Daphnia pulex: one gene and its partners. The protein of the gene in region 1 interacts with the protein of each later gene in a pairwise test. Links are inferred from orthologs where the notes say so. Each region holds a gene or a part of one and is shown in the gene's direction. Other genes may lie near its edges. The genes, in order: E3 ubiquitin-protein ligase AMFR-like, ubiquitin-conjugating enzyme E2 N and ubiquitin-conjugating enzyme E2 W-like.

What was found.
Region 2: the proteins of E3 ubiquitin-protein ligase AMFR-like (region 1) and ubiquitin-conjugating enzyme E2 N interact in a two-hybrid assay, tested with the Homo sapiens proteins (2 studies listed by BioGRID and IntAct). The link is inferred for Daphnia pulex from reciprocal best matches to the Homo sapiens genes AMFR and UBE2N.
Region 3: the proteins of E3 ubiquitin-protein ligase AMFR-like (region 1) and ubiquitin-conjugating enzyme E2 W-like interact in a two-hybrid assay, tested with the Homo sapiens proteins (2 studies listed by BioGRID and IntAct). The link is inferred for Daphnia pulex from reciprocal best matches to the Homo sapiens genes AMFR and UBE2W.

The regions. Positions count from the first base shown.
Region 1 is NC_060017.1:3,097,508-3,102,731, reverse strand, and holds E3 ubiquitin-protein ligase AMFR-like, read left to right. Parts: upstream 1-1,838; 5' UTR 1,839-2,111; coding exon 2,112-2,381; intron 2,382-2,456; coding exon 2,457-2,714; intron 2,715-2,790; coding exon 2,791-3,037; intron 3,038-3,108; coding exon 3,109-3,182; intron 3,183-3,251; coding exon 3,252-3,395; intron 3,396-3,489; coding exon 3,490-3,613; intron 3,614-3,668; coding exon 3,669-3,886; intron 3,887-3,953; coding exon 3,954-4,292; 3' UTR 4,293-4,320; downstream 4,321-5,224. Other genes in the region: tRNA pseudouridine(38/39) synthase-like, read right to left, coding at 4,839-4,918, 4,992-5,125, 5,183-5,224. UniProt on the Homo sapiens protein: E3 ubiquitin-protein ligase that mediates the polyubiquitination of lysine and cysteine residues on target proteins, such as CD3D, CYP3A4, CFTR, INSIG1, SOAT2/ACAT2 and APOB for proteasomal degradation.
Region 2 is NC_060019.1:11,512,842-11,517,192, forward strand, and holds ubiquitin-conjugating enzyme E2 N, read left to right. Parts: upstream 1-1,574; 5' UTR 1,575-1,771; coding exon 1,772-1,801; intron 1,802-1,929; coding exon 1,930-2,020; intron 2,021-2,093; coding exon 2,094-2,249; intron 2,250-2,486; coding exon 2,487-2,668; 3' UTR 2,669-3,032; downstream 3,033-4,351. Other genes in the region: protein AAR2 homolog, read right to left, coding at 76-370, 434-550, 614-729, 823-989; YY1-associated factor 2-like, read right to left, coding at 3,594-3,810, 3,890-4,042, 4,113-4,182, 4,256-4,311. UniProt on the Homo sapiens protein: The UBE2V1-UBE2N and UBE2V2-UBE2N heterodimers catalyze the synthesis of non-canonical 'Lys-63'-linked polyubiquitin chains. This type of polyubiquitination does not lead to protein degradation by the proteasome.
Region 3 is NC_060027.1:2,994,979-3,000,213, reverse strand, and holds ubiquitin-conjugating enzyme E2 W-like, read left to right. Parts: upstream 1-2,195; 5' UTR 2,196-2,732; coding exon 2,733-2,780; intron 2,781-2,847; coding exon 2,848-2,939; intron 2,940-3,016; coding exon 3,017-3,119; intron 3,120-3,192; coding exon 3,193-3,244; intron 3,245-3,323; coding exon 3,324-3,427; intron 3,428-3,495; coding exon 3,496-3,571; intron 3,572-3,649; coding exon 3,650-3,663; 3' UTR 3,664-4,376; downstream 4,377-5,235. UniProt on the Homo sapiens protein: Accepts ubiquitin from the E1 complex and catalyzes its covalent attachment to other proteins.

The DNA.
Region 1 (5,224 bases):
AAAAGAAGTTCGTTGAATTTTCTTTATTTTGATAATTATTTCTCGTGTCATCATCATTAGTCCGGATAATAATTTAAAAAAATTACCTTCGAAGGGCATTGGAATTTCTTAAATACGAAGAATAATCGACGATAATGTTTTGCACAAGTTTGATAATAACACGAAAGAGTGATCCATCCAATTAAAGGAAACGAACAAGTTTCTTTAATATGGAAAACCCCAGCGTGATTGTCGTTTGGTCTTGTTTCGCGTCTCCAACGCGACGAAATTTATGGCTTCTTCAAAGTCACATGCAACCGACTCGTGAACAATTGCTGACGCGGGCCTGCTCCAATAACTAACCCGTTTTTAATGGACGCACACATTTAGACTGCTCTCGCTCATGGAATAATAAATAAACAGTCTTTTAAGAAATACAACTTATAAAATAGAATTTTAATCAAAAGAAAAGAATTCCATATTTCTTTACTTGACAGGTTGGAAGGTCGTCTACGAAGAATAGGTCTTAATTCGTCTGAAAAATAATTGGAATGATAGCCAGAATTCGGCTTTGAAGCTATATTACCCATTTAATGCTGGGAGCTGTATAGCGGCGTTTTCCGCAAACATATCTTGTTGAATTCCAATAATCCAAATTTGGCTCAACCAAATAACCTCGCAAATAACAACTTAACACTAACATGATAAACATAAATGTTAACTGCTTGTGAAATGCGTGTTGTAAAACGCTACAGTATAAGAAATTGGAATAGAGCCAAAATGAAAAAAAAAAAAAGATTCTCTTTAAAGTGCAGAGAAAGAGAAAATGAAATGAACTTCAAAAGTCACTTCAATTACTTAGCCATCCCTTGTTTTCGCAAAGTTATTGTTGCTTCATTTATTTATATTGAAGGATTACCACTACATCGGATAAAAGCGAAACAGGGCGCAAATTTCAAATGGAAACCTTGACCTGTCGTGACCATCAGGAGGTACGCGATAAGACTTTGGTATGTAGTGGATTCAAATTGTCTCGAATGTGAACATTTACAGAATTTAACGGTTCAGTTACTTTGCAGAGCTGACGCCCTATTGTAACGAATGTTGAGGACGCAAATCAGGCGTTATAACAGTGCCGTGTGTGTGCAAGGACACCTTCTTCCGGTCCCCATCTGGTACGAAATGACACGCTACTTTTTTCATAACCGCCCAACAAGACGATAAAATCGGCTAGACATGCAGCTAGACAACGTTTTATTTCTGATGTTTCTCCCTTTTTTCTGTCTTCCATCACGCGTTGCCATCAAAGCAGAAATAATAATAGTGAATACATTTTCTTTTCAAGGTTGATTCGGGAGTGCAATTTAGATTAGCGTAATTGAGTACTCTTATGCGTGTCTTAGGGCAGTGCCATAAAACTGAGCATTTTTGGTGCGGGAGAATGTTGCGGAATATTTAGCGAATATATCTCAGAAAATTATTAAGGGATCTTATTGAAGTTGTTTCTGAGTAAAAACAATAAAATCTACTCAGACTTGTGACGTATCTTTTTCATTTTTAATAACAAACCAGTATTCGTCGATCTAAAAACAGATTCAGCCCAGTCCCAGCATCACATGCGTAATGAATAATTGAATATTTATTAGCTTGACTGTCCGAGTCTCCGAGAGCGCAATTCAGTCTACATCTACATTTGAGAACATGTATGCAAAGTTGACATTGAATACATTTTTTCCCCTGGGGATAGCGAGACGAAATCTGCCTTGTAATTTTTGCATATTTTTGACCTTGCTAGAAAATAGTTTGCTGGAACTTTTTGAGGTTGACGCCCAAAACGTCAGTAATTTTTTTTCATTCCGTTTGCAGTGTTTACGTGTACTAGATGCTGTTTAGCCTTACCCGCCTTATCAGAGTTTTGACACATTTTCGGATTATTGAATCATTTGACAAGGCACTTGTTATCGAAATGGTCGTTAGATAACGCAGTGTTATCAAGATGAAATTGCCTTGAATTGCTGTGCTAGCTAATCCTAGTTATTTCTGCTGATGTTTTCAAATGCAATTTTCACCCCAGATTTGTTAGTAGTTTTGTCGTCTTGTGAACCCAATTTTTCTGTGTCAACAACAACAACATGCCTGTCTTACTACTTGAGAGACTACCTCTCCCGAGTTTGGAAGCTTACGCGGTAGTCAGTGTTTCTCTTTTGGGTTTGTCTCTTCACTACGCTGCAGAAAAAACACAAAACCCTGAATGGAGGATGCAATTTGTTAAAACGAATAGCAGCCAAGAGATTCCCAACTCCTTGCAAGCATTTATTTCAAACATCCTGTCTCGTTACTGGCTCAGCTCCAGAGCTCAAGATATTGTGTCATTTTCTATCCATGACAGTCTCTGCATTTGGGTTAGAACATGGCCATCCTATATTATTAGTCAATATCCAACACTTTAATCCTTTTTTATCTTCTATCCTTTACAGATTGTTGTGAACATGGCTTACTGCCTCCTTGTATTATTTGGAAATTGGCTGCAGAAGCAGGTGTTTGGGGAACTAAGAGTTTCTGAACTACAGCACATCAAAGACAAGTTTTGGAATTTTGTGTTTTACAAATTTATTTTTATATTTGGCATTAAAAATGTTCAAAGTATGGAAGGTGTTATATTATGGGGGTCCTGGTTTTCTGTTATTGGCTTTCTACACATTCATGCTCAACTTTGCCAAGACAGATTTGAATATGTAATTGGATTTTATCTTTCTTTTTTAAAAGCTCAAACAGGTATTGTAATTTATCTTATGTTTGGCGAAATTATAGTTATCTATGACTCCATGTACCCCTCGAAATCGACACATCCGCTTGCTTACCCTGCTGGGATCGATTCTGGTGGCATCGGGATTATTATTTTTGATTTGCCTCGCCGTTGGACAACGCGCTGGATGGATTACATTTGCCTTGGTCGCCCCGGAATGTCTTCTCTTGGCTTTACGTACCACCCACGTTATCTTTAGATACATCCTCTACCTGCAGTCTTGTCATCCGCCCATCCATCAGATCTCTCAAGGTTACTTGAGTTGCGCATTCGCAACAGAGACTCTCGATGTGCTCAAACATCTGACGATTGTTGGATCATAGGGTGGAGTCCTTCGTCGTACTACGTGGAATTGGCGGTGGAGATTTCATGCCTCGTTGTGGATTTGGCACATCATGTGAGACGAAATTGCTTTCTGCAATGCGACTGAATTTCGGTAACCCCTTTTTTGTCTCTTTTCGTTTAGATTCACATGCTTCTGCGAGCGAATATGCTGCTCTCTATGGCATCTTTGGTCATTTTCATGCAACTGCGAGTGCTCTACGAACAGCTGTGTGGACGTCTCCGGCGACACGGGAACTACAAACGGTTGCTGAAATTGGTGGAATTGGTTTGTACTCGAGTCGATCTAAAATATCTTAATCTCCCCTTCTTCTGCCAAGTCTCTAGTTTTAATCATTTAGTAATTTATTCTGTTATAATAGTGCTGTCCCTTGGAAACACTCCATTTCGAACTCGAATCTGAATGGGAGGATAACAAATGTGCCATTTGCTGGGAAGCAGCAGCTGTAGCCAGACGGTTGCCGTGTGGTCATCATTTTCATCATGGTATTGATTCATAACAATTAATGAGGCAATCCTTCATCTATCTATACTTGTATAGGTTGTCTGTTGCACTGGTTGGAACAGGATCCTACGTGCCCTACGTGTCGACGCCAACTTTTAGAAGATGGATCGAAAGAAACTGCTTCGTCTTCACGTCCCCGGGAAACTGCAAGTTTTATATCGTGGACGGGCTGGAGTCGACTGTTTCAACAAAACACTGATACTCCGGTAGTAGCAGCTGCAGAAAACTCTCAATTGGAAGCTTTAGCTGATCAGGTGTGACGAAATCTATCATAAAATTCTACTAATTCTTGTTCAACAATTTAAATGTTTATCGTTGTAGGTACTTCAATTGTTTCCCGATTATTCGTTTTCTGTTATCGTTGAAGATCTACGGCAAACTCGCTCAGTAGACTTAACAGTTGAGAATATATTAGAGGGTCGTCTTCTGCCCACACTTCCCAGCTTTCAACAAGAGCCTAGTCTATCTACGTTGCCAACATTCGCCAGGCAAGAAAACCAATTTGATGTTTCCCAGGAACCAGAGAAGCTCTTTGTTGATGATCCGCAAGAAAGACAACACATTCTTCAATGTCGTAAGCATGAATTAATCGCGGAAGCTCGAAATCGCTTTCTTCAGAGACAAGCACTCGAAAACAATTCCACTATCATTGAAAGTTGATTTTCTTGCTATACACGTGTGATTCTAATTTGTTATTGATCCTAAAGTGCGTAAATTATGCATTAGTGCATCTCATAATTCAAAAAACCTGTTTGTATATTGGCAAGGTAAATTATGAGTAGAAAGATAGTGCCTTTTTAATAATTACGAAATACCGCTTCGCTCGACTGGGCGTGGAAGAAAACCCTCTCTATGCCGCAAGCTAGTCCCATCACACAGACGTTCACTGTCAAACAGGGCCTACAAACGTGATTTTACTGATTCACTACCGACGAAGTGAATGCGCAATCAATAGTAACATTTGATTACCAAACATGTAGAGGACGAAATCGGAAATGTGTGACATTTTTTTTCTTCTGAGATTAATAAATCTTTCCCTTAATATCTTGAACAAGAATAGGTGATTTTCTTTCAAAAGTAGCGTTTTATGCGAGTATAATATGGCTATGGCAACAATTTAAACCCCTAAAAATTCAAATTAAATAAAGCATGATCCTTGGTACAGAAGTTTTATTCACAATTGCAGTTTTAACACATGATCAGGCATCAAGGGCAATTGGCGTCAGTTTCAATTACTTCTATTCGTTGGCGCTTGGCGTATACGTGGATACGCTCTTCCAAACTTTCTGCAATATGTATATTTTAAAACAGAAGTGATAAGTTAAGGCATTTTAATACCACGTCAAGTGAATTCAATACCGCATTTTTGCCTTTCCATTAACGGCAGATACGTTTTCGGTTCAACTCCATATACCAGACCTTTTAACTGACTTTCAATTTTGTCATCAAGCAAACCTTCTAGGCTGTTCAACATTTCTTTAATCATCGTCGCCCTACAATAATAAACATTAATAAGATTTCACAAAAAATTCGTTTCTTTTATTGCTTACTTAATGCTATTTTCGGCCCAAAGCGTCTGATAACCGCTTATC
Region 2 (4,351 bases), on another chromosome or scaffold:
TAATTTATTATTAAATACAGCAAACTATTTGGTATTTTTTACGTTCCGAAAAATAAATATTAAAAAAATGCCGACCTTTCCCAAGTTGACAGCATTTGTTCCAGTAAATAAGATGTGTCAATGCTATGTTTAGTGATTTCCATGGCACTTGATCCTACTGGATAGAAATCAACAGGGACTTTGGTAAAATTTAACGCTGTGCCTGGCTTTGGTTGCATGTGCGGTAGTAATTCATCTTCATAATTTGACCTCTTTATTCTTTTTTCTTTCACTGGAGATTCTGCTGGTGCTGGTACATCTTCTGATGAAATTAATTCTGTAACTGATGAAATCTTTTGCTGAAGGGGTTCCACTTTCCCAACTACATCAGCTAAATATTAATTGTTAGACATTTTATTTTTGTACAGATTACATAATGTATAAGAAAATATACTTGTCAATTTACTGCTGAGAGACATCCATTTCTTCCAGGTATCAAATGGATATGGACCCAAGTGCTGATCAAGATTTTTTAAATTGGCTTTTAAACTTTCTCTTTCTTCATCAGTACCTATTATGGATAAACACTAAATAATAAATTAATATTAAATAATGATTTATAAAATAAAATTACAATCGTTGATGACATCTTCTATTTCTGGGTTCCACTTACGGACCACAACTTCCTTCTTATTGAAGTTGTAAAAGAAACCTGTTCTTGGCGCTACGGAACCTTCCTTGCTTACAGAGCTAGAAATTATATAAAAATATACAATCACATTTTGTACCTCACAGTGAATGTTACACTCACACAACTGTTCTAACAAAAAATAACTTATTTGCCTGTAATAAATATAGTGAATTCCAGGGGGTATCATTTTTATGCCTTTGAATTTTTCGCCGGTTCTCCAACTGTTGAAATCTATTCCTACTTCAGTCCCAATTGGTACGCCAAGAAGAAATAAAAACGCGCCCTCTTCAAATAATTTGTTAGCCAATTTTTGATCCATTCTTTCCGTGTTTGACACTTGATGGTTTATATTTTAAAACAGAATGAAGCTGAGTGAATGAAACCACGCAAAAGCAATGAACGAACAATACTAGCAGACGACAGTTTAAAAACAAACAACATGGAGGTCAGACGTCAGATCAGTACCGGATGCCGACTTGCCGAGTTAAATTCTAGCAATTTTGCATAAAAAAAGGGAATAAAATTAACATGAAGAAGGATAGGAGAAGAAAGTGATAAAATAAAAAATTTTATGTGTTGAAGCCTGCCATTCAATCTTAATCATGCCTTATTAGTTAATTTGCCCTTTTTCAATTTATTTCAACTTTCAAGTCGAAATTCTTTCTAGATGATTCATGAAAATAATTAAAATATTCCGCAAACAGAACAGCCAATTAATCTAACCAAAAAATTTTTACTGGTCATTTTCTACGGTTCTGAAATAAAGGTTTAAACTCATTTCCGGCATTTGAAAAGCAATACCTTTTGTTTAGCTTTCTCGTGTATTTCCGTTTGTAAACCAATTCAAATAAACTTTGTTCATTTTAAATAAATCGTCTTAATTTGAAAAATAATATGTTTATATGTCTAATTCTTCCCGTGTGGCCGGGTCGATCTCCTACCGATTTTCGTCACCAAACAATTTGACAACGTCTTAAATTAGCAATAGGGCACTCGTATAGCGTGAAAACTTTCCGTCTTCTCTATTTGGCTTTAAAGTTACCATCTATTATACGAAAATCTTATTTTATACTCGTTGTTTGTTCAACAAATTGATGCGAAATGGCAGGCTTACCTAGAAGGATAATCAAGGTAACACAAATCTTAATTGTAGACTTGCATCAAAGTGGGAGGCAACGTGTTTTTTTCTCCCGATCCTATTATGGGACCGGTAGTATTCTCTAGCAATATAGTATATTCGTCATTAATTTGATCAATAGGAAACTCAACGTTTGATGGCTGAGCCTGTCCCAGGCATTAGTGCAGTTCCAGATGAACAAAATGCTCGTTATTTCCATGTTGTGGTTGCAGGTCTGTAAACTTAAATTGCAACCTTAAAGTGTCATTCTGGTACTGACTAGTTCATATTGATTAAAATTCATAGGTCCAGAAGGTTCTCCATTTGAAGGTGGTGTTTTCAAATTGGAACTATTTTTGCCTGAAGAGTACCCAATGTCTGCACCTAAAGTGCGATTCATGACAAAGATTTATCACCCTAATATTGATAAACTTGGCCGAATTTGTCTTGATATTCTGAAAGGTGATTATTTTTATTACTTTAGTGTTTGCTCTATCAAGATTGTCAAGTGTTATGTGTTCTATGCATGTATAATCTTGTGTTTTGGTTATCAGGGTATACCTGTATTGTTATGACATTTGTGCTTTGAATTTTTAAGTAACTGGGGAAAAAATCAGTTTTAACTTCAGAAAGTTGCATTTGCTTGAAAAACTTAAGTGTGTGGATTTGGCTTTGTTTAATATTTTCTAATATTTTCAGATAAATGGAGTCCAGCTTTGCAAATTCGGACAGTGCTGTTGTCGATTCAAGCTCTATTGAGTGCGCCCAATCCCGATGATCCATTGGCCAATGATGTTGCTGAGTTGTGGAAAGTCAACGAGGTAGAAGCTATTCGTAATGCTCGAGAATGGACCAGAACTTATGCTATGGGAAACATATGAAACCTGGATCTGTGGAAGGAAAAAGAGTAAAATTGTCAATCCGTTACCGAGAAATTGTGTTTGAATTTAGATTATTTTGCTTTCTTTTGTTCCTCGTCCATCAGCCTTTGTCGACTGATTCCCCTCCCTTCAATTGGTTGAACTGTCCCCGATGGTGATCAGCCAAAAAACTACATTTTGCTCGTTCTTATATCCCAATCTTCTTTTGTTTGCTCGTCAAAAGTTCTATCGACGGTTCATTCCAATTCACGCGTCGTTAAAATGATCGTCGATAGCCTACACTTTTTACCGTTTAGTACCACGAGTACCTCAAAAGGATACTAAAGAATAATAAAAATGCCGTCACCCGTGGAAGTCTAGAGTATCAAATTGTACAGCTGTGTATTTACTTGTCGTGGATGAGGAGGGTGAAATTATAAAGACGGATGAGAGCGCACATTTATCACGAAACGAAAACCATCCACTCGACAGACATAATCAATTTTTTACCAAATCTTCCCCGACCTCTTCGCACCGTTCAGATGAGGTAGGTTCAAACCGAAAAAGGGAAGCGAATATTGGTACTGAGATCCGATCAGAAACAGGAATTCCCAACACTCAAAAATAATCTCCAACATTATGGAATTTCGTGGTTACAAAAAAAAAAAAGGGAAAAACTTTGAATCCAGAATAGTTATAGACAACTGCCTCTTGGTTTTTCATGTATAGTTTTCGGTTTGGACGTCTGTCGCTCCAGTTCTATCTCACTGAAATTCGGTTGGGACCAAATTATAGCCTTTATAGATATTTAAAAATTATATACTTCTTGGCAGTTGAGAAAAGATCGGTATGGGGTCAATTGGGTGCGCAAACAAATACAGTTCAAATAAAATACCTCGAGATGCTAAATAATAATAAAAAAATGAATCACGAGCAACGACTTTAGTCAGTCTGAATGTTCTTGATCTGCAGGGGAAAGATCGTTGCCGTGATTGCTGGCACTACTGCTAGAACTACTGGTCGTGTGTCCAGCATCCAGATCAAGGTTACTGGGAGATGTTGACTTGCTGCTAATTTTTGGCCGAAACTCAGTAATGACTACTGTCACATTGTTCACTGTCACTTCTTTGTGCATAGCAGTGCTTCTGTCAACATTTTTCAACCTATTTTAAACAAACAATTAGCAAGTCACACTGAAGGATAGATATCAAATTTTGTTTTAACAATTTTATTAAAACATACCTTGGTCTGGCTTTACTGTTCCTGGTGGGGTTTCCATCTGATGATTTCCTCTCAGATTTATCTCTTTCTTTAGATTCCTTCTCTTTTCTATTTTTGTTAGCTAAGGAAGGATTGAACACTTGAGGTACCAACTGAGGATTGAGCCTTGGTTTCCTGAAAACGTGCAAGTTTTGTCACATCTGTTAAATGTTTAGAAATGGTAATATTGCTAAGGAAAAATTACCTGGTTGAGGTTCCTTTTCTTACATCACACATTGAACATTTAAATGCCTCTGCATTATTTCTGTAGGTACCTATGTAAATAATACAATGTTCGTCACCATTTGTCAACATCTTTTGTTTTCATATTGCGCTTTGTCAACTTACAGACACTGCAGTCCCAGTAATTTTCTTCAATTTGCTTGCTACTCCGCTTCGCCCTTCTTGAAGGTACAGAAACCCCCATTAATATGATTGAAATAC
Region 3 (5,235 bases), on another chromosome or scaffold:
TAATTCTTAGCGTAATATCGATCCTGGGATTTTTTAAAAGAATGCACAGTCGAATTAAATCATTATATTGATGTTGAATCATAATTGCCTCAGAAATTGAATACTCTTATCGTCACGGTATTTTCAGAAGACCGTCGTGAGTTGGGAGTAGTGTTTCATCATTTGCAATGCTATCGGATTCGATCTCGGCACATTTCAGCTATTTTTCTACATGATCATGCCCTAGACGACTGAGCCATGTCATCTGTCGTGCTCGGGGTTAAACAAAAAAATGTACATTTTTATTAATTGTGTTGGAGAATTTTTCATTTGTGACATAATAGAACCGTGTAAGACATCCGCAGTGTATCGGAATGCATTATGCAATCTGGCTAAACAAAAATAAACAAGTGTTTGCAGAAAAATATTAATTGAATTAAGATTTGGGTACCCGCAAAATATCTCCAGTGGCGCAGTTGGTTAGCGCATGGTACTTATACGACAGTAATAAATGCAAAACTAACAATAAATTAAAGATAAAAAGTAATGCCGAGGTCGCGAGTTCAAGCCTCGCCTGGAGAAATTCATTTAGTTAATTTGCGAAATAATTTTAAAAAATGTTGATATTCGTTATCCAAAATGTGTGTATTGCGGTTTATTGATTGGAGCAGTGTTTGTTATACCTAACTCCATCGCTAGATATCGATAATAGTGTTTGTAGTTTGACTAATCAAACCTTTTTCAAAATGACTATAACTTCAAATTAATTCTTAGCGTAATATCGATCCTGAGATTTTTTAAATGAATGTACAGTCGAATTAAATAATTATTTTTATGTTGAATTGAACCTTAATTGCCTCAGAAATTGAATACTCTTATCGTCACGGTATTTTCAGAAGACCGTCGTGAGTTGGAAGTAATTTTTCATCATTTGCAATTCTATCGGATTCGATCTCGGCACATATGAGCTATTTAACTGAAAGCTCATGCCCTACACGATTGAGCCATGTCATCTGTCGTGCTCGGAGATAATCAAGAGAATGTACATTTTTAATTGTGTTGGAAACTTTTTATTTGCGCCATAATAGAAACCGTGTTATAAGACATCCGCAGTGTATCAGAATGCATTATGCAATCTGACTAAACAAAAATGGCAAATGTTTGCAGAAAAATATTAATTGAATTAAGTTTTGGGTCCTCTCAAAACATCTCCAGTGGCGCAGTTGGTTAGCGCATGGTACTTATAGACAGTAATATATGCAAAACTAACATCAAAATAAAGATTGAAAGTAATGCCGAGGTCGCGAGTTCGAGCCTCGCCTGGAGAAAATTATTTAATTAATTTGCGAAATAAATAAAAAAAAATGTTGATACTTCGTTGTTTCCCACTACTGTCGCCGAGACAATGAAGAATCGATCAAACAACGTCGATTCGCTCGACTTGCGTCACTCACACCTATTGCATAATGTGTTACGTCAATATGACACTGCTGTTGTCACTATATCTTGTTAGTCCTTAAAGGATTCGCAACTGCCATAAATATCTCCAACTGAAAACAATACTACCGTTACGCTTTTGTTGTCACTTGTAAAAGATAAGGGCTCCCACCTTTTTAAAAAAACATCAACGTCTCAGTTTTGTTATAATACCATATGTCATCAATCGATAACTTTCTGCCTTAAGGTTATATAGGAGATGTACAGTACCCAGTCCCAATTAGCTGACGCGGGACACAAATTAGACAGTTAGCAGTGACATTGCACGACAAAGGAGGTTAAGGAAGACGCAACTTGGCCCGTTTGCGTAGTTATTGTTTCCGCTCACGAACCACAAAAGTTCAGTGAACGTTGGAATCCCCCAACTTATTGACGTTTGTTTTTTGTCTGCGTGTGAACTGGAAAAGAAAGAAACTCGCTGAATCAGAGATGAAGGGCAATCTTATTTGCGACGTAAAAAGAAATAAACGACGATAAATGTTTATTACAGGCAGTTTCCACGGTCGTTGAACTCGCAACTTCCGCATCTGCTTTCCGCAATTCACAGCGTTCCGCACAACTGCGTCTGCGAAATACCCAGACGTTTTTGGAGGAAGAAAACAAAACATGTCATCACATCACTCGCGTTTCACATGTTCTCCTGCTCAGGTAAATATTAAATAAAAAAATGCTTCAGTTTAATAAGTGTGAACGTATTCAGAATGGCGAAACGTTAAAGAGCCGCCTGCAATTATCTAGTCGTAGTTGGTAGAAAATGAAACTCGAGGAACCTTCGGTTGCCATGTCAGCTTGTCCTTCAATCTCATCATTATTTGGACTTGTCCTTGACATTTTGCTAGTAAAACTTTTCTTTTAAGTAATATTCTTGACTCGGTTTGAGGTTTCGGAAGTCTTTTTAGCGGTAAAAATAGCTATACTGCTCTGGAGATGGTGTGTGTTCTTGAAGCTTGCTAATCGGTTATGGCACAGATTCAACCAACTGCTTCCTTATTCTTCCCAATTGAGTCACCTGAGAAAATGAAACCCTAGAAGAGAGTTCTGACTTATTGGCACATGTCAGTTTGGCACATGTCTGGTGTGGCTTTGCACGGTTCACGTGAAGTGAAACCCTGCAGCGTACTGTCAAACTGGTGACATTTCCTTTCTATAAAAGGAGAAAGCTACATAAGTGGCAAGTTAGTTCTTGGATCGGTGAGTATAGTTTTCGCATTACTTGCTGGTGGTTGTGTCTCACATTATTGGTGCCCACTGCGAATATGAGTGACAAATCCCTGACTCAATCGTGTGTTCTTCAGAGACAAGAGGTTAACCCTGATTGTTGCCGAATAGATCAGTATCTAAATAAAACTCAATTTTTTTTTAATATTACAGAAAAGGCTGCAAAAGGAGCTTGTCTCCTTGATCAAGGAACCTCCTCCTGGTGTTGTGATCGATGGAGAATCTGTGGGCCAGAGCCTGGACTTGTAAGATTGACTTGACATTTTGTTGGACAAGTGCATCACACTTTTTTCACTTTATTTTTTTCAAATCTCACTTCCAGGTTGGTGTTGAGTATTAATGGAGCTCAAGGAACGATTTACGAAGGGGAGCAGTTTCAGTTACAGTTTCGTTTCGGACCAAAGTACCCTTTCGATTCGCCCGAGGTAACACCTTTCAGTCAACGAATTGACCAAAACCAACACGTATGTTTTACTCATTTGAGACCACTCTCTTTAGGTTGTTTTCGTCGGATCGGAGATCCCTGTCCATCCGCACGTCTACAGCAACGGTCTGTCTAGCGTGAAACCCTTAAAAGATGGTCAATAATTTAACCGCGGCTCTTTTCTCCAACCTTTTCGGTTATTCAGGCCACATCTGCCTCAGTATATTGACCGATGACTGGTCACCGGCTCTGTCCATTTTTTCGGTCTGTGTTTCCATTATCTCAATGCTCAGCTCTTGTAAAGAAAAGGTCAGTTTCAATTGTGTGAAAAAGTATCTTTCTCACCCATCACTCATTCACGACTATTGACCCGTTAGAAGAGACCACCGGATGACAGTATGTACGTGAAAACGTGCAGCAAGAACCCAAAGAAAACCAAATGGTGGTACCACGGTGAGTTTGAATGGCTACCGCCTAAACCCGAGTTATTATTAATCTTTTTTAACCATAAATCATTTCCCAATTTGCCAGACGAAGAAGTGTAAAACGGGTTGATATCTCTCCCCCTCGATTCCCGCTACGAAAAGAAAAAGAACCTGTTTCACGCTGGCGATGCTCGCGTCAGAGACAATCTAGTCGCCAAAAAAATACGAAAGAAAACAAAAATGGATTTTCTTTTTTCAGTTGTCAAAATTTTCCACCCTTCCGAATCGATCGCGTTGATTTCCCATTCCCGATATTGACCTACTACTTCCTCGCATAACGAAACAGTTCCTCTCTGTCTTGATTAATATGCGGTTGATACTCTCCAATTTTTGACTTGTAGCAATATTCACGAAAAACTACAGATGTGTAATGTTTCACACTTTTGGCGTTTGATTTTTCGACTTTTAATCGACATCAAATCTACGAAGCCTTTTTCCCCCCTTCTACTGTGTTTTATCTTACCCCCACCCATTCTTTAAATGTTAAACGAAAAATATTTCGCTCGTATAAAATTTGTTTCAACTATTATACTCAAATTCTTTTTCATTTCACGTTTGGAAGACAAAAAAACTAAACGATTTGAATTAGCCAAGTAAATAATGAATTGTATATTTCTGAAATGGTTTCAAAATCAGAGGGTAGTAGGGCGCAAATTTTGTAATCGACTTTTTCTGTTTTATTATCCTTTTCGAGAACATTTTTTGATGTGTGTGTGTGTGTGTCTTGTGTGATGTTTTTGTTTCGAAAGAAATAGAAGAAGAGATTAAAGTTCGTTTCCGACAGCTTTTTTTTAAGACTCCGCTATAACAACAGCAATGAAGGGCGTGACAAAACATACTTTTGGGTAAACGTAGAGATTAATTAAGGTGGGCGACTTGAAAAAAAATGTCATTCGTCAATTAATGATCGTATTATACACACACACACCATGACTCATGTTAATGTTAAAATAGCCAGTCATATGAGGAGTGTATATATAGCGGATATGAGCTGAAGAAAAGGAGAGGAAGAAAGGTTTTTTGACAAACAAATTCTCCTGGGTAATAAAAAGGGAAAGGTTTAAAAAAAAAAAAACAATTTAACTTTTTTTTTTCGTTTTTTCTTTTTTTTTAAATCAATTAATAAAATCAGAAAGGAGGAAATCTAAAATGATTGAGCGCTGCACGGTATTCCGTCGGACGTGTACACACTGAGAAGAAACAAATCCGCCGAGCTATTTTATCCTTTTTTAAAAAATAATAATTACAAAAATCCGAACTGCATTTTTTAAAATTCATTAAGGAGAAACGAAGAAACAATTTTGAAATTGAAATAGAATTACAAAGAGAGAGAGAGAAGAATAAGGAGGGCAGGGGGGGGATTGGTATACATAACAGCTCTGTGCGAGCTCCGGTATAAATAATTGACACGAATTTTCTCTCTCCAACCACACACACACACACGTTTTTCTTTTATTTAAAAACAGACAATCTATAATAATATATTTATATATATTTTTCATGTGTGTGTGGAGGAAGGAAAATTCCTAGGAAATATATCAAACAAAGATGGAGAAGAAGAAAGAGAAATATATATAAAAGTCACATCCAATCAACTAGAGAGCTTCTTCTTTTTTAAGACAAGAGATAGAT